Rattus norvegicus: one gene and its partner. The protein of the gene in region 1 purifies or fractionates together with the protein of each later gene. This does not show direct contact. Links are inferred from orthologs where the notes say so. Each region holds a gene or a part of one and is shown in the gene's direction. Other genes may lie near its edges. The genes, in order: Phrf1 and Csnk2b.

The links.
Region 2: the proteins of Phrf1 (region 1) and Csnk2b purify together in Homo sapiens (affinity purification with mass spectrometry; 3 studies listed by BioGRID and IntAct, with this or other methods). This does not show direct contact. The link is inferred for Rattus norvegicus from reciprocal best matches to the Homo sapiens genes PHRF1 and CSNK2B.

What each region holds. Positions count from the first base shown.
Region 1 is NC_086019.1:205,766,898-205,778,974, forward strand, and holds part of Phrf1 (PHD and RING finger domain-containing protein 1), read left to right. Parts: intron 1-356; coding exon 357-479; intron 480-4,850; coding exon 4,851-5,056; intron 5,057-8,009; coding exon 8,010-8,093; intron 8,094-11,015; coding exon 11,016-11,143; intron 11,144-12,077.
Region 2 is NC_086038.1:3,700,882-3,713,661, forward strand, and holds Csnk2b (casein kinase II subunit beta), read left to right. Parts: upstream 1-4,841; 5' UTR 4,842-4,960; intron 4,961-5,554; coding exon of another isoform or gene 5,555-5,565; coding exon 5,566-5,637; intron 5,638-6,217; coding exon 6,218-6,320; intron 6,321-7,155; coding exon 7,156-7,271; intron 7,272-7,617; coding exon 7,618-7,693; intron 7,694-7,829; coding exon 7,830-8,019; intron 8,020-8,890; coding exon 8,891-8,981; 3' UTR 8,982-9,118; downstream 9,119-12,780. Other genes in the region: Gpank1 (G patch domain and ankyrin repeat-containing protein 1), read right to left, coding at 1,593-2,037, 2,593-3,202, 3,887-3,923; Ly6g5b (lymphocyte antigen 6 complex locus protein G5b precursor), read left to right, coding at 9,951-10,008, 10,105-10,233, 10,490-10,887. UniProt on the Homo sapiens protein: Regulatory subunit of casein kinase II/CK2.

The sequences.
Region 1 (12,077 bases):
CAGCAGAGGATGCATCTGATCCTTTTGCCTCCACCTCTCAAAATGGTGGGATTATAGATGTTCACCACTATACCTAGCTTTGTATGGTGCTGGGGATATGAACCCAGGGCTTGATCATGCGAGGAATGCAGGTTCTACTAGCTGAGCTGTACTTCAAGCCACTTTGTCTTATTTTTAATGCTAGCAACATAAATACAGAGTAAGATGACTCGTTTCCCCCATTTTATGTCTAACCACACACACACGCACGCACACACCATGGTAGCTTGGTAGTATACCTGTATATTCTAGAGTGGTTTTGGCTCTCTGCTTTGACGCTGCCCTTTGGGGTCTGTGCTTTTCATCTTGTGATCTAGAAGAAAGCAGCAATGGCCACAGTGAAGACTCTGAAGATGATACAGGCAGTGAGCAGGATGATGACACAGATGGGGAGGAAACAGAGGGGCTGTCTGAAGAGGAAGACCCAGAAGATAGATCTGGTAAGATTGTAGGCATTTGAGCCAGTTACCTTGACTCTCTTAGTGAGGAGACAGCCTGTGTTAAAACATCCACAGCTGAGCGCGCTAGCTGTCACCTGCCACGGAACAACAACTGACTTCAGCTGGAGTTTTTAGTTTTTAAAGTTAATTTAGTGATACAATTCTGTGGGTATCTCTTTCTAAGAGAAAATAAAACGTCTTAAGAACATTGAGCAACATAAGCCATTTGAGAATGGGGAGACAGGAGCTCTAAGAGGATGAGCAGGGATTCTTGGTGGCCTCTCTTCATTTCACAAGGGCCAACTGCTAGCATCACCCAGGTGCAAGACAGCTTAGCAGACCTTACTTACGAGGCATGTGGCATGGGACCTCTTTTAGGACAAAGGTTGTTAGTCCTATCTTATAGCTTGTTCTTTGCTTATTCAACCAGCTCATTGTGGGTATTATTAAAGTCCTGGCTTCTGTGCACTAGAGAAAGTTTGTTTATTTATTTATTTATTTATTTATTTATTTATTTATTTATTTATTTTTGGAGCTGGGGACCGAACTCAGGGCCTTGCGCTTCCTAGGCAAGCGCTCTACCACTGAGCTAAATCCCCAACCCCCTGGAGAAAGTTTATAACTTGGAACTCATGCAAAGAATAGTGCTTGAATGACATACCTCTACTCTGGAAAACCTTCATGGCCACCCTAGCCTATGGGCAGTCTATGAGGGTTCTTTGTATTGTCTTGGCCCCACCCACCTATTGCTACCTTTCTTACCTGTCTTAGGGTTTCTGTTGATGTGATAAAACATGACCACAAGCAACTTGGGGAGGAAAGAGTTTATTTCATCTCCCCGCTTGTGGTCCATTGTCTAAGGTAGAAGCTTAGAATTCTCAAGGCAGGAAGTGATGCAAAGGACATGAAGGAGTGTTGCATACCGGCTTGCTCCTTCGATTTGTTCAGTCTATTTTCTTAGAGCACCCTCCACATCCAGCCCAGGGCGTCACTGCTGACAGTGAGCCTAGCCCTTCCACAATGCAATAATAACTGAAAATGCTCTACAGGCTTATCCACGAAACTGTCTGGTGCAGGCATTTTCTCAATTGAAGTTCTTTCTTCCCAAATGAGTCTAGCTTGTATTAAATTGACATTAAAATTGGACTGAGGCTTCTATTAACTTCAGGTCTCCTTCTGGTGGCAGGCTCAAAGCACCTACTTATACATAAATTTCATTATACCCTTTGGTTGTTGATGAGAATGTTCTAGAGAAGTGACTCTTCCCTTATCATTGGGACAGTACTCATCATGAAGGAGTAGAACTGACTGTGAGTTAAGTAACCTTGTATTGATAATGAGTGCCCAGTTTTCCAAAGCTAGCTAGCCTTGAATTCACTCCATAACCAAACCTCAAATTCCTGGCAATCTAGACTAGAGAGATGGCTTGGATGTTTTTTTTTTTTGTTTTTTGGTTTTTTTTCCTTCGGAGCTGGGGACCGAACCCAGGGCGGTGGCTTGGATGTTAAGAGCACTGTCTACTCTTTCCAAGGTCCTGAGTTGGTGGTTCATAAACAGTCAGTTCTACTCCTTCATGAAACCTAGTGCTCTATTCTGACTTGTAGGCATATATGTAGGCAGAATGCTATATACATAATAAATAAATACTTTTTTTTTTAAAGATTTATTTATTTTATGCATGTGAGTACACTGTCACTGTCTGTCCTCAGACGCACCAGAAGAGGGCATCAGATCCCCTTACAGATGGTTATGAGCCACCATGTGGTTGCTGGGAATTGAATGCAGGACCTCTGACTGCTGAGCCAACTTTCCAGCCCTCGAGCCAGTGTCTTAAGGCATGAGCGAGTAGCCAGCATCTGGTTCAGTAGATACCAAGGAGAATCACTCAAGGGTCCTGGGTTCCTTCTTATAGGAAACGTCTTTTCACTCTTTGGTTTTCCCACCCTATATCCTGCTACTAAGGTGTGCCTGCTTTTGCTGCTGCTGGTGTGTTCCTGTGTTCCCCAATGTGTAGAGTATTAATCTCTTAATATCCTACTCTGAGAACTAATGCTCAGCACCCAGGTCTCTACTCAGTGTCCGTTATTATTGCATTCATAGATTGTTTAGAGCCTTCCACAGTTCCTCTGCAGTTCTCTATTCTGCTCATCAATCCTGTCTCCTTTCAGAATGGACACAATTTGAGGCCTGGTGTTCTTGGAGACTCTGCCTTTAGATACACCTGGTCTCTAGGCTAGCCACCTACTGCCCTGTTGGTACTAGCGCTTGTTAGCACCTCCCGTGGGTATTGTCTCAGTTACTTCTGTTTCTGTGATGAGACACCATGACCCAGGCAATTTATAGAAGAGTTTATTTGAGGCTTCAGTTCAGAGGGTCAGAGTTTGTGACCATCAAGGTGGGGAGCAGTAGGCAGGCAGTCTGTCACTGGAGCAGTAGCTGAGAGCTCACATCTGGAAATACAACTATGAGGCAGAGACACCAACTGGGTAATGGTGTTTTGAAACTTCAAAAGTTCTCTCTCAGTGACATACCTCTTCCAATGAGGCCACACCTCCTAATCCTTCCCACACAATTTCACCCACTGAGGAACAATATTCAAATACAAAGAGCTGTCATTCTTGGGGTTGGGGATTTGGCTCAGTGGTAGAGCGCTTGCCTAGCAAGCGCAAGGCCCTGGGTTCAGTCCCCAGCTCCAAAAAAAAAAGCTGTCATTCTCTTTCAGCCACAGCATATTTTAAGGACATTATTTGGCAAGCCAAATGAGAGTTCAGTGAGGGAAACTGCTGGGGTCCTTTTTTCTACCTTCAAGTCAGGTGTGGCTGTTCTCAGCATCCAGCGCATTGCTCTGTAGGCACTATGGAAATTAGGCAAAACAAGATGGCCAGGTCCCTACCTTCAGATTGCAGGGGAGAAGCAGATCCATCTCTTCTCTTTGACTCTGCTACCATGAGCCTCAGCTCGCAGGGGAAAGCTAGAGTTAGTTGTCATTCTGCTATGGAAGCTCCGTTTTCTAGCCGATTGTTAACAGCCATTCTTAGCTACTATGTTATCACACTCCCTTTGAAGTGGGTATAGCTGTTTGTGTCCTTCAGTGCCAGCACGAGCAGCCCCTGTGCTTTGCAAGTGCTCACCTGTGTAGAGGCAGAAGGATCAGGGAGTTCAGGGTCATCTTCATCTACGTAGCCAGCTTGGACTACGTGAAACCTTGTCTCAAAACAAAACAAAACAAACAAAAACAAACAAAAAAAAAAAACACAAGGAGCTGGCACGATTGCCAAGTGAATGACGGTGTTTGCCACCAAGCCTGACAGCCTGAGCTCAGTTCCTGAAATTCGTATGGTAAAAGAGAGAAACAGTTTCCATGGTTTACCCTCTTCTGCCCAATAATTAAACAGATGGTTGGTTGGTTGGTTGGTTGGTTGGTTGGTTGGTTGGTGGTTGATTGGTTTGGTTTGGTTTTTAAAAATCCTTTAAAAAGAGCTTATGTGGTAGGATTGATCAACCAGGGATAGTTCCGCTTTATGGGTTGGCAGCAAGGCTCTGGAGAAGGGCAGCCTAGCACCTTTGTTAGTCCTACTCACAAAGAATCAAATTCTGAGCCCCAGTACGATCTGCTTTTCTGGTCCCTGTGTTAGGTGTTTAGTAGTTCATAGGAGCTTGTTTGCTAAATGCATCTTCATGTTTTCCTTCTGACCCAGCCCCTGCTTCATACTGCCGAGATTGACCAGATCTTTTATAGTCACTAATCCAGTTAGGATCTTCTGTCTGTATTCCACTAGGAAGGAAGAGATGCCCAAGAAGAAGGTCTTATCTAATAGCATATATTTGTCGTCATTGTGTTGAAAGACTTGTGCAGCTATGCAAGGGTTGTCCTAAGTGGGCATTCTTAGGGGTGTAATCATTATTTTGTCCTGTGTATCCTCCACGCCCTCAGAGCTGAAGACTGAACCTGGGGCTTTAGACTTCTAAGTAAGTGCTCCCCATCATGGAGCTGAATCCCTAACCCATGGTAGTTTAGTTGTTAGTTCCATCTTCTCTGCAGCCTGTGGTAGCTCTTGAACCCTAACTTCTCGGATGTTATCTCACAGACTCAGGTGAGAGGAGCTAGTGTAGTCACTTAGCCAAGCATCCCTGTCCTCTTAGCTCTGGGCAGCTATGGACAGAGAGGCTTCAGGTAAGGGGCTTGGTTCCTCAGAATGGGTATTGTGTGAGTATGCCTTTGCGGGTAGGTAGGAAGGCATATTTCAAGAGGAGCTGGGATTCTGGCTAGAGGCAAGTGTCCTGAGTGTACTTGGCTCTGCTTGAGGCCAGTCCTTGAGCACGCACTTGTTTCTATAGTTACTAAAAGCATAACATTTCCATTTACCCAAGGTTCTGAAGATTCAGAAGATGGAATAGAAGTGCCAACAGCAGCAGTGGAGACTCAAAGGAAGCTTGAAGCTAGCAGTACACCCAATTCTGATGACGATGCAGAGAGCTGCCCCATTTGCCTCAATGCATTTAGAGACCAGGCTGTGGGCACCCCAGAGACCTGTGCCCATTATTTCTGCCTGGACTGCATCATTGAATGGTCCAGGGTGAGTTGGCTTTTTACTGGGCTACTCTTACCCTTTGTAACTAGGCCTTCTCTGCAGCAAAGCTGAACACAGGGCTGAGCCCAATTTGCTCAGCACTGTGGGGATGTGTCTGTGGGTGACAGGGCTTCAGAGAGGATGGCTCTGGCTTTTCTGAGGATCAGGACATAAATTCTGAGAGAACTTCACATAGTAAGTGTGAAACGGCCTCTGTAGATACTGAAATGGTATAAGTGTGATTACTCAGTCTGATGGCAAGATGATGTGTGTACAGGTATGTGGTGTGTGCCTGTGTTTACATGTAGAGGCTAAAGGATGTCGGGTATCCTGCTCTGTCAGTTTCCACATTATTCCTTTGAGACGGGATCTTTTACTGAAGCTACAGCTAGATTGGCAGCCGGTAAACCCAAGCAGTTCTCTCATTCTCTGTGGTATTAGCATTAAGAGATGCAGGTATAATCTTACCCAGGTTTTTATGTGGCCGTTGAGATCTGAGCTTGGATTCTTGTGCTTGCATAACATATCCTCTTATCCATTGAGCCAACCCCTTCCTTAAGAGAAAAAAAGTCAAATAAGAGGTTTTATTGCCTGCTTTTCTGACTGTCCCCAATGATGCTGGTAGTGTGGTGACAGATCCCAGCAATGTTATCAGGGTTATGCCTCTGATACTCCATTCCTTCTCCCCAAGTAGCTTCAAAGCGTCTCTGTGGTTCACTGTAAGTGGTATGCAGATGGCAAATGCCTTTCTTGTGCCCACAGTTCTGTCAGCGTAGTTTATTGTGTCAAACTTCTTTTTTCTCTTGTGAGTCTCACTGATTAGATTCAGATTAAGTTATTTCATTCTTTAAATTGAACAGCAAGAGGTTGGATGTGATGACACATGCCTATAATCCCAGCATTTAGGAGGGAAAGACAAGTAGTGGGTCTGAGTTCAAGATCAGCCTGGTCTATATAACAAGTTCTAGGCCAACCAGGGCTACATAGCTAGAACCTGTCTCAATTAATTAGTTGAAAAGCAAGTCAGTCTGTTTGCTGTGCTTATGATGTTTTTTTTTTTTTTTTCGGAGTTGGGGACCGAACCCAGGGCCTTGCGCTTGCTAGGCAAGTGCTCTACCACTGAGCTAAATCCCCAACCCCTATGATGTTTATTGGTAAGAAGGCATTTGAAAATAAGCTTATTAGTAAAGATCTTACATATCAGTTCAGATGTTGGATTTTGTGAGATAGCTAGGTACTGGGTTAATGAAGGTGAAAAATTTAGACTTAAAAAAAAAATGAGTCAGGGAGATGGGTGGTGGTAATAGACACCTTTAATCCCAGTACTTGGGAGGCAAAGGCAAGCAGATCTCTGAGTTTGAACCAGCCTGGTCTACAGAGCCAGCTCCAGGATGGCCAGGACCACACAGAGAAACCTCTTCAAAAAACCAAGGATGGGGGTAGATAAATAAATGAAATATAATCAGTCAGGCACTGGAGAGATAGCTCAGCAATTAAGAGCACTGGCTGATCTTTCAGAGGACCTGAGTTCAGTTCCCAGTGCCCACGTAGTTGCTTACAACTGTATAACTCCAGCTCCAGGGATCTGACACCTTCACATAGACATATAAGTAGGCAAAACACTAATGTACATAAATTAAAAAAATAAGATCAGGGTCAAGGAGCTGGTCCAGCAGCAAAGGATCTTGCATCAAGCATGACAGCCTGTGTTTGCTCTCTAGGGGCCACATGGTAGGCGAGCACTACCTTCAACAAGCGGTCCTCTGACCTCACCTCTCACAGTCAGTCAGTCGGGCTGGCCAGCAGGGAAAGCACATTGTCTTCTAGTCTCTTCACATCTGCTGTGGCACGCATAGCCTTCCCTGCCACCTCACCTTGTGGGACATGTGGTGCACAGCTATAATTCCTAGCATTTAGGAAGATTGCCATGGGTGTGATGCTAGCTTTGGTTACCTAGTAAGTTCTAGGCTAGTCTGGGCTACAGAATGACACCCTGTCTCAAACTCTTCCACCAAAAAGAAAGGGAGGGAGAGAGAGAAATTAATATTAAGCCAGTCAGACCAGGGAAGATACAGTGCCTTGGTTCTCACATAACTGTAGTGGCAGGACATGAAAGAGAGGTGGCAGACCTGGGTGGCCCTCAGTTTATACATTTATCAGAATGTAGTGGAGTACACAGCTAACAAAGGTATGTTTTATTGTATGGTATATTTCAGGAAAGGCAACTTGAGCTGAATAGACAAGGAAAAAAATCTTTGTAGCCTACATCTGATTATCATACACACTGAGACCATGTTCAAGGTCCCGTGAGCAGTTCACAAAGGCCTACGAGAAGATCTGGGATAGCAGCAAATAGACTGAAATGCTGGTTACTCAGTGTTTCCCTTCCCTGCTCTCCTTTTCCTTCTCACCTACACGACACCTGTATGGGAGCATGCATCCCGCTTGTTGACCATTCTCCCTCAGTAGCATGGTGACCTCAAGTTCTCACCATCCAGTTCTAGCATCTTAGCATAGGACTTCAGCCAAGACCAAGGCGATCGGTACAGATTTCAGTGTAAAAGGAATTATTATTATTTTTGTTTTTTCAGGACAGGGTTTCTCTGTGTGTATCCCTGACTAGCCTTAAACTCGAAGAGATTGCTTGCCTGTGCCTCCTGCTGCCTGCCTCCCAAGCACTGGGATTAAAGGCATGCACTACAACCACCTGGCTAATAAAAACAACTTTCTAATTTGTTGTTTCAGATAATCTGTAGATCAGGCTGGCCTCATATTCATAGTTCTCCTGCCTTGGCCTCCCAAATGCTGGGATAATGGCCAGGTGCTACCACCTCCATCTTAAAACTGTTGCTTGTTAAGTGAATTCTTCATTTTGAAGAGAGTCATAATGATCGTAATAAGTAATTGATGAGTAATGAGGGATTATGCAGGATTCTAATCCAATCTTTATTTCTTACAGAATGCTAATTCCTGTCCAGTTGATCGAACAATATTTAAATGTATTTGTATTCGAGCCCAATTTAATGGTAAAATCTTAAAGAAGGTAAGTGTAGATACTGCCTACCCCTGCTTGTATTCTTGTAGGAAGAGCATGACTTGCTTTTTTTCTTGTGAGGTGGTTGTCAGTTCAATTAGGCTTAAAAAGGAGTGACTCAGGCATCCTTTTCGGCCCTGACCAAGCCTAGGGCTAGGACTATCCATATTTACTGGGGCATAGAGTAGGAGTCATGGAGATGTTAGGGGTTTCTGGGCTTCTGTTTCCTCACACCTTCTTACTACAGAGCTTCTCTTTGGCCTGTCTCCTTATGAACTGCACTCTTGGCATGTGGGAGGTTGCAGTAGGGTGGGACAAAGGGCCATCTAACTGAAGTTTGGAAAAGTACTGTTGGGACTGGAATGAAAGGTGTTTTTGCTTATTATTTATTGTCCTCTCTCTTTCTCTTCTTTCATTACTCCTTTTTTTTCTCTGCTTTTCCTATCTGTCCCCCCAAACCGCCCACCTCCTTTCTTTTTTTTTCTTCCTTTCCATGGATTAAATTCTAGGCCTTGTGCATGCTAAAGCAAGCTATACAACCAAGTGCTACAACTTGAGCCCTGATTGTTTTTTGTTTTTTTTTTTTTTTTTTTTTTTTTTAAAGATTTATTTATTTATTTTATGTACAGCATTCTGCCTGCATATGTGACTGCAGTCCAGAAGAGGGCACCAGATCTCATTACAGATGGTTGTGAGCCACCGTGTGGTTGCTGGGATTTGAACTCAGGACCTCTGGAAGAACAGTCAGTGCTCTTAACCACTGAGCCATCTCTCCAGCCCAAACAGTTTCTTTTTTTTTTTTTTTTTTTTTCCGGAGCTGGGGGCCGAACCCAGGGCCTTGGCGCTTGCTAGGCAAGCGCTCTACCACTGAGCTAAATCCTCAACCCTGATTGTTTTGTTTGAGAGAGGGTCTCACTGTGTAGACCACACTGGCCTTGAACTCCCAAGAGTTCAAGAATGCAGGAATTAAAGGCATGTGCTACCACTCCCCATGTATCCCTTGTGTTTTTTTGAGACAAATTCTTACTGTGCATCAAAAGATCAGCCTTGCCATGGTTGTGTACATCTTTATTCTCAGAACTGGGAGGTAGAGGTGGGTGGATCTCTCTCTCTGTTTGAGGACAGCCAAGAAAACATAGTTAGATCTTAAAAGGTGGTGGCACACACCTTTAATGCCAGCATTTAGGAAGCAGAGACATCGGCAGATCTGTGTGAATTCAAGGCCAGCCCAGTCTACAGAGTTCTGGGACAGCCAGGGCTACACACAGAGAAACCATGTCTTGAAAACTAAATAGACAGACAGACAGACAAACAACACCAATAAAACAACAAAACAAATTTCAGTTCTCTTGTTCTTTGCCTTCTGATCCTTTTGCTGGTGATTGAACCTAGGACCTCTAACAGGCTGAGCAAGCTCTGTGCCACTGAGCTACATGGCAGGAGTGTTGTTGAGCTTGTGCTTTAAAGTCCTCATGTGCTCTCCGCGCCTGTGCCTGGCACTCACAGCGCTGGTGACTCAGTTCCATGATGTATTCTCACACCACAGGCTTGTCATCATGTTTGTTGCTTACTTGTTTGTTTTTAGAGACAGGGTCTCTGTGTAGCCCTGGCTGTTCTGAACTTACTGTAGACCAGACTGACTTCACACTCTCAGAGATCCACCTGCCTCTGCCGCCCAAGTGCCCAAGTGCTGTGATTAAAAGCCTGCACCACCACTCCTGGCCCCTGGTGCAGTTCTTGCTTTTACTTTTCTAGTTACTTGCCTTGCCGTAGAGACAACATGAAGGTCACCTATGTCTTAGGGTTTTTTGCTGCAACAAAACACTGTGACCAAAGAGCAAGTTGAGGAGCAAAAGGCTTATTTGGCTTATACTTATATATATTACTATAATGAATACATTATTGAAGGAAATCAGGATAGGAACTGAAACAAGGTCGGAACCTGGAGGCAGGAACTGATGGAAATGCTATTGAGGCTGTAGAGGGTTGCTTGCCTACTGACTTGCTCCTTATGGCTGGCTCAGCCTGCTCGCTCACTCCTTTCTTTCTTCCTTTCGTTCGTTCATTTGTTCATTCTTTCTGTTTCTATTTTTGTTTTTGTTTTTTTAGAAATAGAGTTTCTCAGCCCTGGTTATCCTGGAACTCAGATTTATAGATCTCCCTGCCTCTGCCTCCAGAGTACTGGACCTAAACACACGTGCTACCATGCCCAGCCTTCAGTCTGCTTCCTTATAGAACCCAAGACCACCAGCAGAGAGATGATACTACCCACAATGGGCTGGGCCCTCCCCCATCAATCTCTTAAGAAAATGTCTTAAAGCTGGATCTTATGGAATCATTTTCTCAGTTGTTCCTTTCTTTCAGATGACTCTAGCTTGTGTCGAGTTGACATAAGACTAGCCAGCATACCATATATTTGTTTATTCAGGATGTGGGTCCATAGGACCTGTCTTAGGGTTTCTGTTTGTTATGATAGCATCATGACCAAAAGTAACTTGGAGCAAAAAGTTTATTTTGCTTATCTGTTTCAAATCACAGTTCATCATCAAAGGAAGTCTGGGCAGTAACCTGGAGATAGGAGCTGGTGCAGAAACCATGGGGGAATGCTGCTTATTGGCTTGCTCCCTGTGACTTTCTCAGCCTGCTTATAGCACCACAGGGCCATAGCCCAAAAGTGACACTATTCACAATGAGCTGGCTAGAAAATGCCACCCTGTTTACCCATAGTCCAGTCTGATAGGGGTATTTTCTCAACTGAGATTTCCTCTCCTAACATGATGCTAACTTATGTCCCAGTTGACATTTTAGCTAGCACACAGCCCACGTAGATCTTTGGTCAGTCGATTTACTTTAGATTAGATACGTCTTGTCCTATGAATTGACCACTCAGATTTTGAGGATATGTTCATTAACCAGTATTTCTGTCTTCAGATACCAGTGGAAAACACTAGAGCTTGTGAAGATGAGGAGGCTGAAGAGGAAGACCCGACCTTTTGTGAAGTGTGTGGCAGGAGTGATCGTGAGGACCGGCTCCTACTTTGTGACGGCTGTGATGCTGGGTAAGGGTAATGGTGCCTCATACCTGCCTTGCGGGCTGTTAGGTTTGGCATGGTCAGGAGAGCAGGGTGAGTACTGAGGACTCCATTGTGGAGTTCGGCCCTGTGAGTCATAAGCAGTGACACTGATAGCTCTCCTGCCTCCTATATCTCTACTTCCTTGGGCTGCTCAAAGGCCATACAGTATGTCATGGCCAAGAAAAAAGGGAGGAGAGTGGACTCACTGGCCTTAGGAGAGAGGGCAGGCCGGCTGAGGACTACATCATCTTGCTGCCTGGATCTTTTTATCATTATTGTTATTATTTTCACTATGTGTGCAGTCTATATGTGAGTATGTACATGTGAATACAAGTGTTTGTGGAAGGCAGAGGCTTTGGGTCACTCTGGAGCTAGAATTACAGACTGGTGTAAGTTACCTGAAGTGGGAGCCTTGTACCCTGTGGGAGTGATAGGGTTTTAACTGCGAACCATCTCTGGCTCTCTCCTTTTGCCTTTTGATATACTTGAAGTCACTTTATGCTTGTGAGCCTGTCTTCTGGGACACTGCTTGTGTTCTTTGCTCACCCTTTGGTCTCTGAGATGGAACTGGCCTCCCCTAGCCTCTTGTTGGATCTTTGGCTATTGGTTAGAAAGATTTTTCTGCTATAAAATTATGGCCAGTTACAGAAATATTCTTGCAGTGGTGAGGCTGGTAAATCTGGAATGTTTCCTAGGGCAGAAAATAGTAGTTTGAAGATGTGTCCATGCTGGGAGCTGTTTTCTGAACTTGCCCATGCTCTCCTGTCACTGGGGTTCTTCTGTGCCGCCATTTTTGCTAGCTCCACTGGCTGGACTTTGGTGTATAGTTTATACCCAGGAGCTGACTTTCAGCACCACAGGGATCACCTGTGCCCTCTCAAGCCTGTGGAAATAGTTAGTACAGTGAATACCAGCTTGT
Region 2 (12,780 bases), on another chromosome or scaffold:
GACACTGGTTAGGTACTCCAGCCCTTGGTTTGGGATTTTTTGTTTTGTTTTTCAGTGTAACCTTGGCTATCCTGGAATTAGCTCTGTAGACCAGGTTGGCATCCAACTCAGAGATCTGCCTGCCTCTTACCTCCTTGAGACTAAAGGCGCGCTCCACCACCGCCCGGCTTTGTTTGTTCGTTCTTTTAAGGGCAGGTTCCCTATATATGTAGCTCAGTAAAGGCTTGGACATATATAGCCCAGGCTAGCTTTGAGTCGATCCTTTAGCCTCTGCTTCCCTTATGTTAGGACTCTAGCTGCTCTGTGGTTCTTTCCTACAAGCCCTGCCATTCCTTCATTTCTCACCTGTGACTTCTTGTAGTGCTGGTCCAGAAAGGTAAATAACAGAAGCCACACATGACTTAAGCAGCTACCCTTTGGCCTTCCAGACAGGGATTTGAATACTTTTATGTTCCTAGCTCTCCCGTTTAAGCATCCCAAGGGAGTGGGGGGGTGCCAAGTATGGGAGAGAAATGTAGAAAAGTATATCAGGGAGTGAAATGGGAATCTTAGGGCTGCCTTAAGCCTTGGAATTGCAACTCAGTAAACAGATATGAAGCCCTAGGTTACATGCCCCATACAGGTAAAGTCACATGGGTTTTACCTGAGTTTGAGGCCAGGCTGGTCTACATAGAGAGATTGTGTCTGGGGGGCGGAGGGGAGTGGGGTCATCTTCATCTGGGAGGTCAGAGCTCTGGTGGCAGCTAGCCCTGGGGCTTTCAACTTCCCTCCCACCAGCTGTTACATTTCATCACAGCTGGCTTCCTCACGGAGTTCCAGGGCTTGCAGTGTTTTTAACACATAGCACACCTGGGTTATGACACACTACAGAGATAATTCCAGGATAGTCACCGACTTGACTGGATTGGCCTAGACTCACACTCAGAGGGGAGTTTTGCACAAGTGGGGCAATTTCTAGTTCAGAGAGGGTTTCAAGAAGCGGGTAGAGGGCTGGAGAGATGGCTCAGCGGTTAAGAGCACCCGACTGCTCTTCCAGAGGTCATGAGTTCAATTCCCAGCAACCACATGGTGGCTCACAACCATCTGTAAAGAGATCTGATGCCCTCTTCTGGTGTGTCTGAAGACAGCTACAGTGTACTTATATATAATAAATAAATAAATCTTTAAAAAAAAAAAGAAGCGGGTAGAATGTGGCCAGCGGGACTAAGGGCTCTTTTGTCATCTGGAGAGCTTGTCCTTTTGGCTCAGGTGAGACTTCCAAGTGACTCTCAGATTAGTTCCAATTCCCTGCTATATCATTCAAGAGAGTAAACACGAGGGTTGGGGATTTAGCTCAGTGGTAGAGTGCTTGCCTAGCAAGCGCAAGGCCCTGGGTTCGATCCCCAGCTCCGAAAAAAAGAAAAAAAGAAAAAAAGAAAAAAAAAAAAGAGAGTAAACACGACACAGGGAGGGAAGTTTATTTATCTCCCAACTCTCAACCCTTTTCTCTAAAAGCAGAGCCCGGTAGCCAAGGCCTAAGGGTCTGGAAGCCCAAGTGTCCAAGTCAGAGGCCCACACCCAGCCAGTGACAGACGAGGGCCAGTCTGTGTCAGTCAGAACTCGAGGTTCATGTATAGTCTTAGATCTCGCTCCCAGGCCCGGTCCTTCTCTTCTCGCCTTCTGTTCTCCCTCTGACTCAGCGTGCCGACTCGAGGAACTCTCTCTTTCCCAGACACAGCCCGGGTATCCCGAGCTGCAAAGTGTGTGACCCGGGGTTGGGTTGGGGATCTATAGCCCAGTCCTTCCTGGTCCCTCTTGAGGACAGTGGGAATAGGGTTGGCACGGCCTTCACCCCGGGGTCCTAGCCCCATTCCTGGTTCCCAGCCACCCCTCAGCAGCAGTCTGAAGCCAGGACTGGAAGTGGGTACCCCAAGGGGAAGGCTGGAGGGCTGGGGTCTCCTAGACAGTGACAGCAGGTGAGCAGTAGATGTGCGGTGGTTGGAGTCTTCAAAGTAGGCACCACAGTCCTCACAGAACTGGGAGGAGGAGGGGGGTGATCTGCAGAGAAAGAAATAAGTTATAGGGGAGGAAGTTGTTCAGGCACCAGGCAGAGCACCTTATGCCTTTCTCCTGATTTCAGCAGCACCTTTTTTGATTGTATCTTGTTTTGGGACCCCAGGGTCTTCCCAGTGTTAGGCAGGCGCTCTAACCAAGCTACGCCATCTCCTCTCCCTTTGTCCAGAAGGGACAACTTGGAATATGTTGGGTAGGTCTCAAGCTCTCAGGAGTAGCGAGTGGTGCTGATACTCAGAAAGTGCATACTAGCAGCAAGCACCGTCCACACTTTCCACACTGACCTGCTGCATCTAAACAGCCCTTTGAGAGAGAGTCTTATCCTCAGTTCAGACAAGGACTGAGATTCCCAGACTTTAGGCTGGCTCTGCAAATAAATGGAACCCAGATTCAAACGCACAAAGGCCACGTCTATTACCGCTCTAAGACTGAACTACTGGAAGATGAATGGCCCCTACTAGCTGCTGTGCGGCCCTTGGTAGGAGGTGTCCAGGAAAGAACACAATAAAGATGGGGCATGAGCAAAGGCTCCCTCCTCACCGGTTCTGGTTCTCGGGGCTCCTTGTCTCCCCACGACTCTCTCTGACCATGCGGGCTACCTCAGGGAAGCCTGCTTCTTCTGCCAGCTGAGCCGCGTCTCTGCCTCCCAGTTCACAGACTCCTACCCAGGCAGCCCCTCGGCCCAGGAGATAGCGCACGGCAGCGCCCTGGCCCGCTCGAGCAGCACACATCAAGGGAGTCCACCAGAAGGCGTCACGAGCATTGATATTCCCTCCAGCTCCCCCTGCCTCTTGGGGTTCCAGCAGCCTCCGGAGTTCTGTCAGATCCCCATTCTGGGCTGCCATCAGGATCCACTGGGTCACCCTGTCTTCATCCTCAAGTGCTCTTCCTTGTCTCGGGACCCCTGCTGCTACAGGCTCCCTTGCGGTAGTTCTTCTTCTCTTCCTCTTTCTCTCCCTGGTCGGTTCGGCTCTCCGGGGCTTAGGGGAACCACTCTCCTCTGCAATTAGAGCCTCATAGAAAGCCCGGGCTGCGGCCCCATCCAGGACAGGCTCTGGTTTCTCGAGCTGTGCTTGCTGTTGACCATCTTTCCAGAGGTCACTGGAGTCGGTGGCTGGAGTGAATGTGATGAGGGATGGCTTGGACATGGCTGTGGGAAAAGTGAGAAAATGAAGACCAGGCAAGGCAGGAGGATGTGCCAAGCAAGCCTACCTTTCAGGTAGCTCTTGTGAAGACCAGCACCACCTCCAGGGGCCCAGCAGCCTACAACTAAAATGGACCTTCCATCCCCACACTGACTTCATACCTAGGATTCTGTAGAGCCCAGGGCTCATGGATAAAATGTAACCCAGGAATAACTGATCCTGCCACAATGTTAATATAATTTCAGGAGGGCATGGTAGGTACCTATGTCTCTGGGTAGAATGCTCGCCCCGAATTTGAGAATTCTAGGTTCTATCTCTAACACAGAAAAGAAAAAGGATAACAGGAAAAATATTCCACAAGAATAGGGGTCTAGGGGTCCTGCGTTCAACTCCCATCTTCCTACAAAAATGCCAGGCTCTCTCTGAAATCATTTTTCCTGTCCTCTAACACATACCGTTTGAAAATATCAGTTCAGCCTTTTAAATCTTGCTCGATCTTATCTAGGGGGGGTCTCCTTTTCCCAGATAAAAAACAGGCGTGACATTATTCCGGAAGCTTTCGGGGAAAGACGCTGCACTGTCATTTCCGTACCGCAAAATGGCGCTCTCATAATCTCTAAGAGTTGATACAATCAGAGCTACAGGGAGCCATGACGCATGCGCACCAGCAACAACAACAAAACACCCACAAGGTTCAGTTTCCCGCGCTGGAACCTTTCCAAGCATCCGTGTAAAGCATCGCGTGCCCAGGAGCGCGAGGACCCAAGGGGGAACCTGTCGGTTGGGGTCCTGCTTTTACATAACGCCCCCACAATGCTCTTCGCCACCCTCGCCCTGGTCCCTCCAGCACCAAGCTCCTTTCCTGGAGCTGGGAGGCCACCCTCTGCGTTCAGAAAGACTCTGAGGACACAGAGGGGGAGACCTGTGGAATGCCGAGGAGCTGTGAGATGAAGTAACATCACGGCACCCCTCACCACTACTCTGAGCAGGGTTTGAAGAACAGTTAGGGTCCGCAGCAGGACGCTCCATCAAGCTCTGAGGAAATGGAGAAGTACAAAGGGACGAGCGGCAGAATGGCTGGCCCCACCTCAGGTTAGCGCGCAGGGCGGTCTAGATTCTCACGCCGTATGCACAGCTCAGCGCGTCCTAAGCACACCCGACCTAAGTCCCTCACCACACCTCTGCGCATGCCGGAGCCCGAGCGCGCTCTGTCGCGGGCCTGGCAGGAGAGCCAGGGTCCAGTGGGTTGGCCTGGCACGGGGAGGAGGGAGAAAAACTAAAGCGCAACGCCGAGAGAGCACCGTAGGGATGACAATCACCCCGGGCGCTAGCCCCGTAGTCTAGCCAGCCTCCTAAGACTATATTTCCCAGGCTTCCTGGTCGAGAAGACTCCGTGCTAGGCTTCCGCTTCCGGTGGCGCTCCGTTCGCCCCGCCCCCGGGCGGCTTCCTCTAGGGCCTCGCGGCCCTAGAGTCATGCGCGGGTCCTCCTGGGATTGGTAGTTTGCCTTCCCTTCATTTCGTCAGTTTCTCTCTCCTGACGGGACTACATCTCCCGGCGTCCACGGAGGTAGGGGGGCGGTCCTTAGCGCCTGCGCGTTGCTCTCTTCTCCCCCCCAACCCCTAAACCCTCACCAGTTTCCAGTCCCCCCCTCCCCACTTCGTCTGCCGCGGCCGGGTCGGCTTTTTGCGCTGTAGCGGTCTCTGCCGTTCCTTGGAAGCACAGCTCCCCTTCCCCGCCCCAGTCCCAGTCCCCGTCCGGCCGGTGAGTGTGGGGTTGTCTCCGCGCCCAGTCGCCGGTCCCTGGGCGCGGCACTCGGGTCGGTGCTCCTCGATGTGGGGGCGACGAAGGAAGTGACCGGGTCGGTAGCCGAAGGAGGTCGGGGGGCCTGGGGAGAGGAGGCGGCTTGTGGGGACGCTCGTGAGTCCCACGGAAGTGTGGTGCCCTCGCCAACCCTGCGAGGGCAGGAGAGGCCGATTCTGTTGGGTAAAATGAACTTCGGGAGCTTTGGGACAGGCGCCAGGAATATGCAGGCACCTGCGGTGGTGGGGAGCCCGAGCCGAGGGCCCTGTCGCGGCTGACATGGAGGGGAGAGGGGCCTGGCCGTGAGGAGCGCCAGGGACGGGGGTAACACTAACAGATCAGGACCTGTCATTTTCTGGAAAGTAGCGGAACTCGTTCTCAGCACACTGTAAGGGGGGGCCGAGCTAAAGGAGAGGAGCTTGGAGATGCTTCAGAGGCCGGGATCCTTTAAGCCCGGCTGGACTCGGATTCATCCGTCGTTGTGGAGAACGTGTGGGAGGAGGGAAGAGACCAGAAACAGCTTGGTCTCCACTTACTTAGGCTCTTCTTTCTCAGCGGACATAAAGATGAGTAGCTCTGAGGAGGTGTCCTGGATTTCCTGGTTCTGTGGGCTCCGTGGTAATGAATTCTTCTGTGAGGTGAGTTTAGGTCGGCCAACTCCACATGCCCTCGATGTTTGATTTTACGTCGTTTGAGAGCAGATTTCGATCGAGCTCACTATGCAGACTAGACTGGCCTTGAACTCCTGGCAATCCTACCGGCCGCCTCCTGAGTGCTAGTATTGTGAGGGTTTGTCAATATGCATGGCTAACAGAGGTGTCTCTGGTGACCATTAGGGCAGTTAAAACCTCTCATGTCAAAGTTGTGTAACGTGCAAAGCACGGTGTGCTAAGGTAGAAAATTATAAATACCTTTCAGAAACTAAACTACTTGACCTTCATGATTCCGAGGTCTTCAGCTCAGGAGTCTGCTGTCCCCAAGAAGAGGGCACATGCAATTTGTAAAATGAGGGACAGAAGCTGAATAATGTCTTTGTGTGCTGGATCTGGTTTGCCTTAAAGAAAAGAGCTGCAGTTTTTATGAAACTTGAGTACTTCTGCAGAACTGGGACTAGGAAACATGAGAGGTGGCTTGGCTGAGGAAAGACTATCTCCTGGGCCCAGGTGGGAAGATGACGGGCCTTTCTATACTGGTTTGAACCCCTTGACTCCCCTGTAGGTGGATGAAGACTACATCCAGGACAAATTTAATCTTACTGGACTCAATGAGCAGGTGCCTCACTATCGACAAGCCCTAGACATGATCTTGGACCTGGAACCTGGTAACTAACGTGTGTCCTGGGTTGTTGCTGACTGTGGGGTTGGTGATAGAGTGCACTTGTGGGTGCTTTGTTTCCGTTCTCTTCTGCTCTCTGCTTGCTTGCTTCTTGAATTTGTTGATGTTGGGGTTTTTTTGTTTGTTTGTTTGTTTGTTTGTTTGTTTTTGTTTTGTTTTGTTTTTTGCGGGGAGAGGGGTAGTGGAGACAGGATTTTCCTGGGTAGCCTTGTCGGTCCTAGAACTCAGTCTGTAGACCAGGCTGTCCTCGAACTCACAGAGATCTGTCTGCCTCTGCCTCCTGAGTGCTGGAATCACAGACTGGCTTGCTTCTTGAATTTCTAAATTTCCTTTTGATTCTCGCTTGCTCCTGTGTTTCCTCCCCCACCTCTAGCCCCTCCATTCATAACCCAAACTGGACTTTACCACGTGCTGTCCTGCCCTAGCTTTCCATGCTGGAGAGAGGCACACAGCAGTGCTTAACTTCTCCACTGTTTTGATTCCTTGCCTGGTCTTGATGCTCTCTGAAAGCAGCTCGGCTGTTTTGTAATGGTGATTTCCTCTTGGGCCTGGTGTGCTGCCTCTTTCCCTCTGCTGCCCTCGAGGGCCACCTCTGTGGTTGTGTGTTTACATTTACTTACTGTGGAAGGAGAGAGGGACTTAGGCAGAGACTAAGGCATACAGAGAGGCTGCGCTGAGGGTCTTGACCTTGTAGAGGAGTCAGGAGCCCAGGTTTCTGGGTCAGATGCATGGATGGTGGGTAGGGCGAGCTTAGGAACAGGTACTGCAGGTAAGGTAGGGATACCTAGGGAAGCTAAACAAGTGGCCGCCCCACATTTCAGATGAAGAGCTGGAAGACAACCCCAACCAGAGTGACTTGATTGAGCAGGCGGCCGAGATGCTCTATGGGTTGATCCACGCCCGCTACATCCTCACCAACCGGGGCATTGCACAAATGGTGAGGCTCTGCTCCTGCTACTTCTACAGGAGGGGAAGGGTGCATGAGTCAGAGGCTGGGGAAGAGGAGAGAGGGAGATGCCCAGGGCAGGGCCACTGAGGGTCCCATTGAAGGTGGTGTTTTCAGGAAGGGAGATGAAACCAGAAAAAGGAGTTTGCAGGGGACACATGGCAAACAGCCCTGTGCTCTGCAGCCGGCCCCACGAAGGAAAAGCACCTGAGGGGTTGGAGGGCCTGTCTCCACAGAAGGGGCTTCTAGTCAGACTCGGGAGGCGTGGGGGAACCGGGAGTGCGTTGAGATTGCCTACGCACTCACCGACCACTCCCTTCTGTTTTATACATGTCAGTTGGAAAAGTACCAGCAAGGAGACTTTGGCTACTGTCCTCGAGTATACTGTGAGAACCAGCCGATGCTTCCCATCGGTGAGTGTTTATGGGAGGAGGGCACTCTCTGGCCGTCCTGCAAGAAGCTGGCTTGGTGTACACAGTGCCTGAGTCCTGTGGGAGGCTGGGGAGAGTTGGGGACTCCTGGTCTGCATTCTGGCTTTCTATCTCCCAGGCCTTTCGGACATCCCAGGAGAGGCCATGGTGAAGCTCTACTGCCCCAAGTGCATGGACGTGTACACACCCAAGTCCTCTAGGCACCACCACACGGATGGCGCATACTTCGGCACTGGTTTCCCTCACATGCTCTTCATGGTGCATCCCGAGTACCGGCCCAAGCGGCCGGCCAACCAGTTTGTGCCCAGGTGGGAGCAGAGACAGTCACAGAGGCTCAGAGTCACCCGAGGACTGGAGAGAGTTGAGAACAAGAATGGCTTTTCTTTAGGCCTGACCATTCCAAAGTCAGGGTTCTTCCTGCTAGCGATGGGGAAGTCATGTGATTGCTCGGGTGTCCCTTATCTGTGAACCAGGGATGCTAGTTTTACCTCCCTAGCAACATTCTTAGGTGTGTGGCACTTGACTGTCTAAATCGTGGCTGTGGCTGTTGCCGTCTTGGGTGTTCAGCCTTTTCCCCCACGTCCTCGGGCGTTGTGGTAGCATGGCTTATCATCCTGGACCTTATTTTTACTGTATGCGGGAAGGAAGGGTTCCATCCTGTACAGGTACTGATCTTGTAGCTTCTTAAATGTGAGACTTCAAGTGTGGGTTGTGGGTTTAACCCAGCGTAACTGCTGAGCTCTCTCCCTCAGCTGTACTTTTACTATGGCTCTTTGGTTGGTTTGGCACAGGTGTCAGGGGCGCAGGGGGTGTCTGGCAGGGTCTTTGTTGGCTAAGATGACCTCGAGCTGTAAATGAGACAGGCCAGTACCTAGCCTGGAATTTTAATTTTAGTGGATGTTTAGGGCACATTGTTTAAGCTGGGTATGGTTGCACACTGGGAGGCAGCGGCAGGCAGATCTCTGGGTTCGAGGCCAAGGCTCTGTTAGACATGGGACCCCTGTCTTGAAAAACAAGCTCCTCCCCAATGAGAGAAAGAGGCATAGTTCATGTATTCATGTGCGAGGAAATTGTCCTGTTGAGAAGATATGAGGAGGAGGCTGGAGTAGAGGTGGGTGACCACCGCTGGCAGGGCCAGCAGAGAGCTTACCGTGCTCCCTCTCTGACCTCCCCCACCAGGCTCTACGGTTTCAAGATCCATCCAATGGCCTACCAGCTGCAGCTCCAAGCCGCCAGCAACTTCAAGAGCCCAGTCAAGACGATTCGCTGAGTGCCCTCCCACCTCCTCTGCCTGTGACACCACCGTCCCTCCGCTGCCACCCTTTCAGGAAGTCTATGGTTTTTAGTTTAAATTAAAGGAATTGTTACTGTGGTGGGGATATGAAATAAAGGAAGAAAAGGCTATGAGCTTGTCTCCTGCTGCGTGCTGCTAGGGAAGGGCTGAGGAACGGAAGGGGTGGTTGCTGGACTCCAGGGACCGCAAGGTCTAGTCTGTCCTCCCTAGGTTGGAAGCAGCCCAGGTTGGTGCCTCATGGATCTGGAGGTATTTATAGTGTATCAGAGCAGCGTTCTAGGTTGGGTCGGGTCAAGTACCAGACTGAGAAGAAAGGTTTCAAAGGCTGGAGAAGACCTGCTCCCTTTGGGCTCTGGCTGTGTCTGCTGTGGGGGCTTCATGGGAAGTTCCCTCAGCTGTGCTGCTAAAGGGGCTCTACCCCTCAGCAAATAGAGCTGTAGAGGAGGCAAAGAGTCCCAGTTGCTCAGTGGTGTCTGTGTGCCCCCTGCTGGGAGAGCCGAGACACAGAGACACATCTGGAAAGGTTGGGGAGGCTTGTCTCTGGCCAACCTCTCCCCGAATAATGGGGACCAACCCTGCTGTGTAGGTGGACAGCAGGCAGTGCCAGAGACAGACTAAGCCGTGGTCCCTGAGGTGGGGGTATGGGCCTTTCAAGGCAGTGTCTGGGATGAAGACACCTGATAAAGCCAGCTGGTACTCGGCTGTGGCCCACATGGGAAACCAGACAGTGTGGGTGAGGACGGGCCATTCTTCCTGCCAATAGATAACTTCCTCCTCTGGTCAGGACCCTGCCTCAGACAGGAGTGCACCTCTGCACCCACAGCAGTTTCTGCTCAGACTGCCTGTCTAACCCATTCTGCCTCTGAAGATCAAGGAGTGTGATCCCAGGAAGGTGGGGCTGTGGGCTACTCCACGGGAGTTGCTCCTCTCCCCTGAAATTCCATAATGAGGGCCTGTGTGCTTGTCCATGTGCTGACCATGGTGGGCTTTGCCTTGGGGAAGGGTAAGTAAGGCCAGGGTCTGGAAAGAGTGGGGAGAGCTGGTCCTGGGTGTGCTTGAAAGACCTCCTGGTTCCGTCTCCTTTGTTCTCTGCGCCAAGCTCCGGTCGCCAGCGTCCGTACCTGCCACCTGTGCTTCTTAGAAGACCCTTCGATAGGCTGCATTTCTGGGTCAGAAAAGTGCACCATCAGCTCTTCCTCGCCATGCATGGTGATCACCATCTATCAGAGTGAGCCAAGCCCCAGGAAAGGGCTGACGGTAGAGCAGTGTGGCTTGGTCTCCTCAACATAAGGGTGGTTTGGGCCACTCAAGGACGAGAGTTATCTTTGAAGGGTGGAGGGAGGGTGTGCAGACAAGTGAGCTGGTTATTTTTTTCTTTTCCCCCTCCACGAAATAAAACGAGGTCTGCGTGAGTGCGGGAAGAGTTAGGTTCGGGGACCGTGGGAAGCTGTTAACCAGGATTATAACTGTCCCCTCTCCTCTAGATGTTAAGGTTCGCTTCCACGTACGGGGCTGTGGACAGCACCACTCCTTCCGGTGTCAAGAAAATCACGTCATCTACTACTCAGACTACTGGTATAGGGTTAATTGCTGCCAGTATGATTACTGCAACTCCTGGTCCAGTGCCCAGCACCAGAGCACTCTGCCTGGGCCCCCAGGAAACCATCTGGGTGTGCCCCTCTCTGAGTCTCAGATAAAACAGTTCTACCAGGCCCTGCACCTCCCTCTGTTTCAGCCTGACCTCCACACTCATAAGGTGTCTGAGGGCCCGGACTCTCTCATTCTGCCCCCGGGGCTGGGCTTGTCCATTGCCGACCTGCGCAAAATATACTTGTTCCTCAACAGTTCAGGACTTCTGGTTCTTCCCCAGGCTAGACCCTGACATGTCCCATCCCCCTTCCCAGATTCTGCTCTGGCTGGGAGCCTCGTCCTTTGAGCTGCCCAGATCTGCGAGCACTCAAATCCTGATACCTGTAATCTCCTAGGCTTCCTTCTGCTCTCCATGGCCAGCTTCTGTAGTGGCCCCAGGTCTGGCTGCTGGTTTGTCTCCCTCCTATTCAAGAATTTAAAGATGGCTTCTGCCCAGGCTGACCTGACAGTGTTCCCGTATGAGTGTCCCGGTCTTCAGGTACCCTCAGTCTGGTCATATGCCACACCTAAGACTCAGTGCCAGGCTTCAGCAGGAAGGTCAAAGGGTGCCTGGACATCTGGCGCGGCGACCCCATTTCACCTTACTGCCTGCCTGCCTGGTGAGGGGTTGCAGCGGCTCCCATGTTTCCTCTATAATAAACCAGAACTTGGCAAAAATCTGTCATAATGTTCGGTGGTGTGTGCGTGTGCGTGTGTTTCAGTTGTGGGCAGGTGTAACCAGGTCAAAGAGTTAAGTGTGGGATTCAGACAGGATATCCAAACCCTACCCACTCTATTTGGTCTTTAAGGCTTCCTTTCAAATTACCCTAAAAGCCACATCCTTCCCCTCCCTCTGCTTAGCTAAAGACCAAAGCATGAAGGCAGTTGCCCCACTTCAACCATAACCTTCAAAACCTGGAACGTTGGACTGGAGAGATGGCTCAGTGATTAAGAGCATTGACTGCTCTTCCAGAGGTCCTGAGTTCAAATCCCAGCAACCACAAGATGGCTCACAACCATCTGTAATGGGATCCGATGACCTTCTGAACTCAGGTACAGTGTGTGTGTGTGTATATATATATATATATATATGTATATATATATATATATATATATACACACATATACATATATATATGTGTGTGTGTATTATATATATACATACACACATATACATTATATACATATATACACATATATATATACATACATATATACATACACACACACACACACACACACACACATATATATATCTTTAAAAAACAAAGCCTGGGGGCTGGGGATTTAGCTCAGTGGTAGAGCGCTTACCTAGGAAGCGCAAGGCCCTGGGTTCGGTCCCCAGCTCTGAAAAAAAGAACCAAAAAAAAAAAAAAAAAAAAAAAAAGCCTGGATCGTTAAGCCAACTCGCGGTGCCATGTTTTCACCTGAGAAGAAGCTCAAGTCCGTGTCCGGGTATAGTGAGCGAGCGAGTTCATTTCAAGGGTCCTGGCACCTTCTTAATCAAGCAGAGGCGGTGCACGCCTTTGATCCCTGCGCTTGGGAAGCAAGGCAGGTGGATCTCCTGAGTTTGATTCCAGCCTGGTCTACATAGTGAATTCCACCCAAAGCCACACATTTGTCTCAAATAATAAATGGGAAATTTTCAAGCACAGAGAAATCACTCGTGGGTGATTTGCATAACTCTCTTATTATTCAATGGAGGACGAGTAGGTCATCCAGGTGTTACGAGCACTTCCAGGTGACTGCAGTCAAGCTCACCCCTCACAGCCCAGTGCTAGATCCTGCCCTGCAGGAAGAGGGTCACTCCCCTTTGCTCTGCTGCCTGGGTACGTCAGTCCTGTAGTTTGAAGTGGTCACCTGTGCTGGAGGTGGAAAACCTCATGATCCAGATCATGCATGTGCAGGTATGTGTGCCTAGGGGCACAAACATAGAGCTTTTGGGTTTGTTTTGGCTTTCTGCGATTCAGCCTTAGGCTAGTCCAGGCTGGCCTTGATCTCAAGGCCATCCTGCCTCAGCCTTCTTAATACTGAGATTGGATGCATGAGCTAGCATATGTAGCAGCCTGTCCTAAACCTTCCCAGCAAAGCAAAAGCTTGTCACAAACACACTAGAGGAAGCTATTCAGTCAGCAGAAGCCTTTGC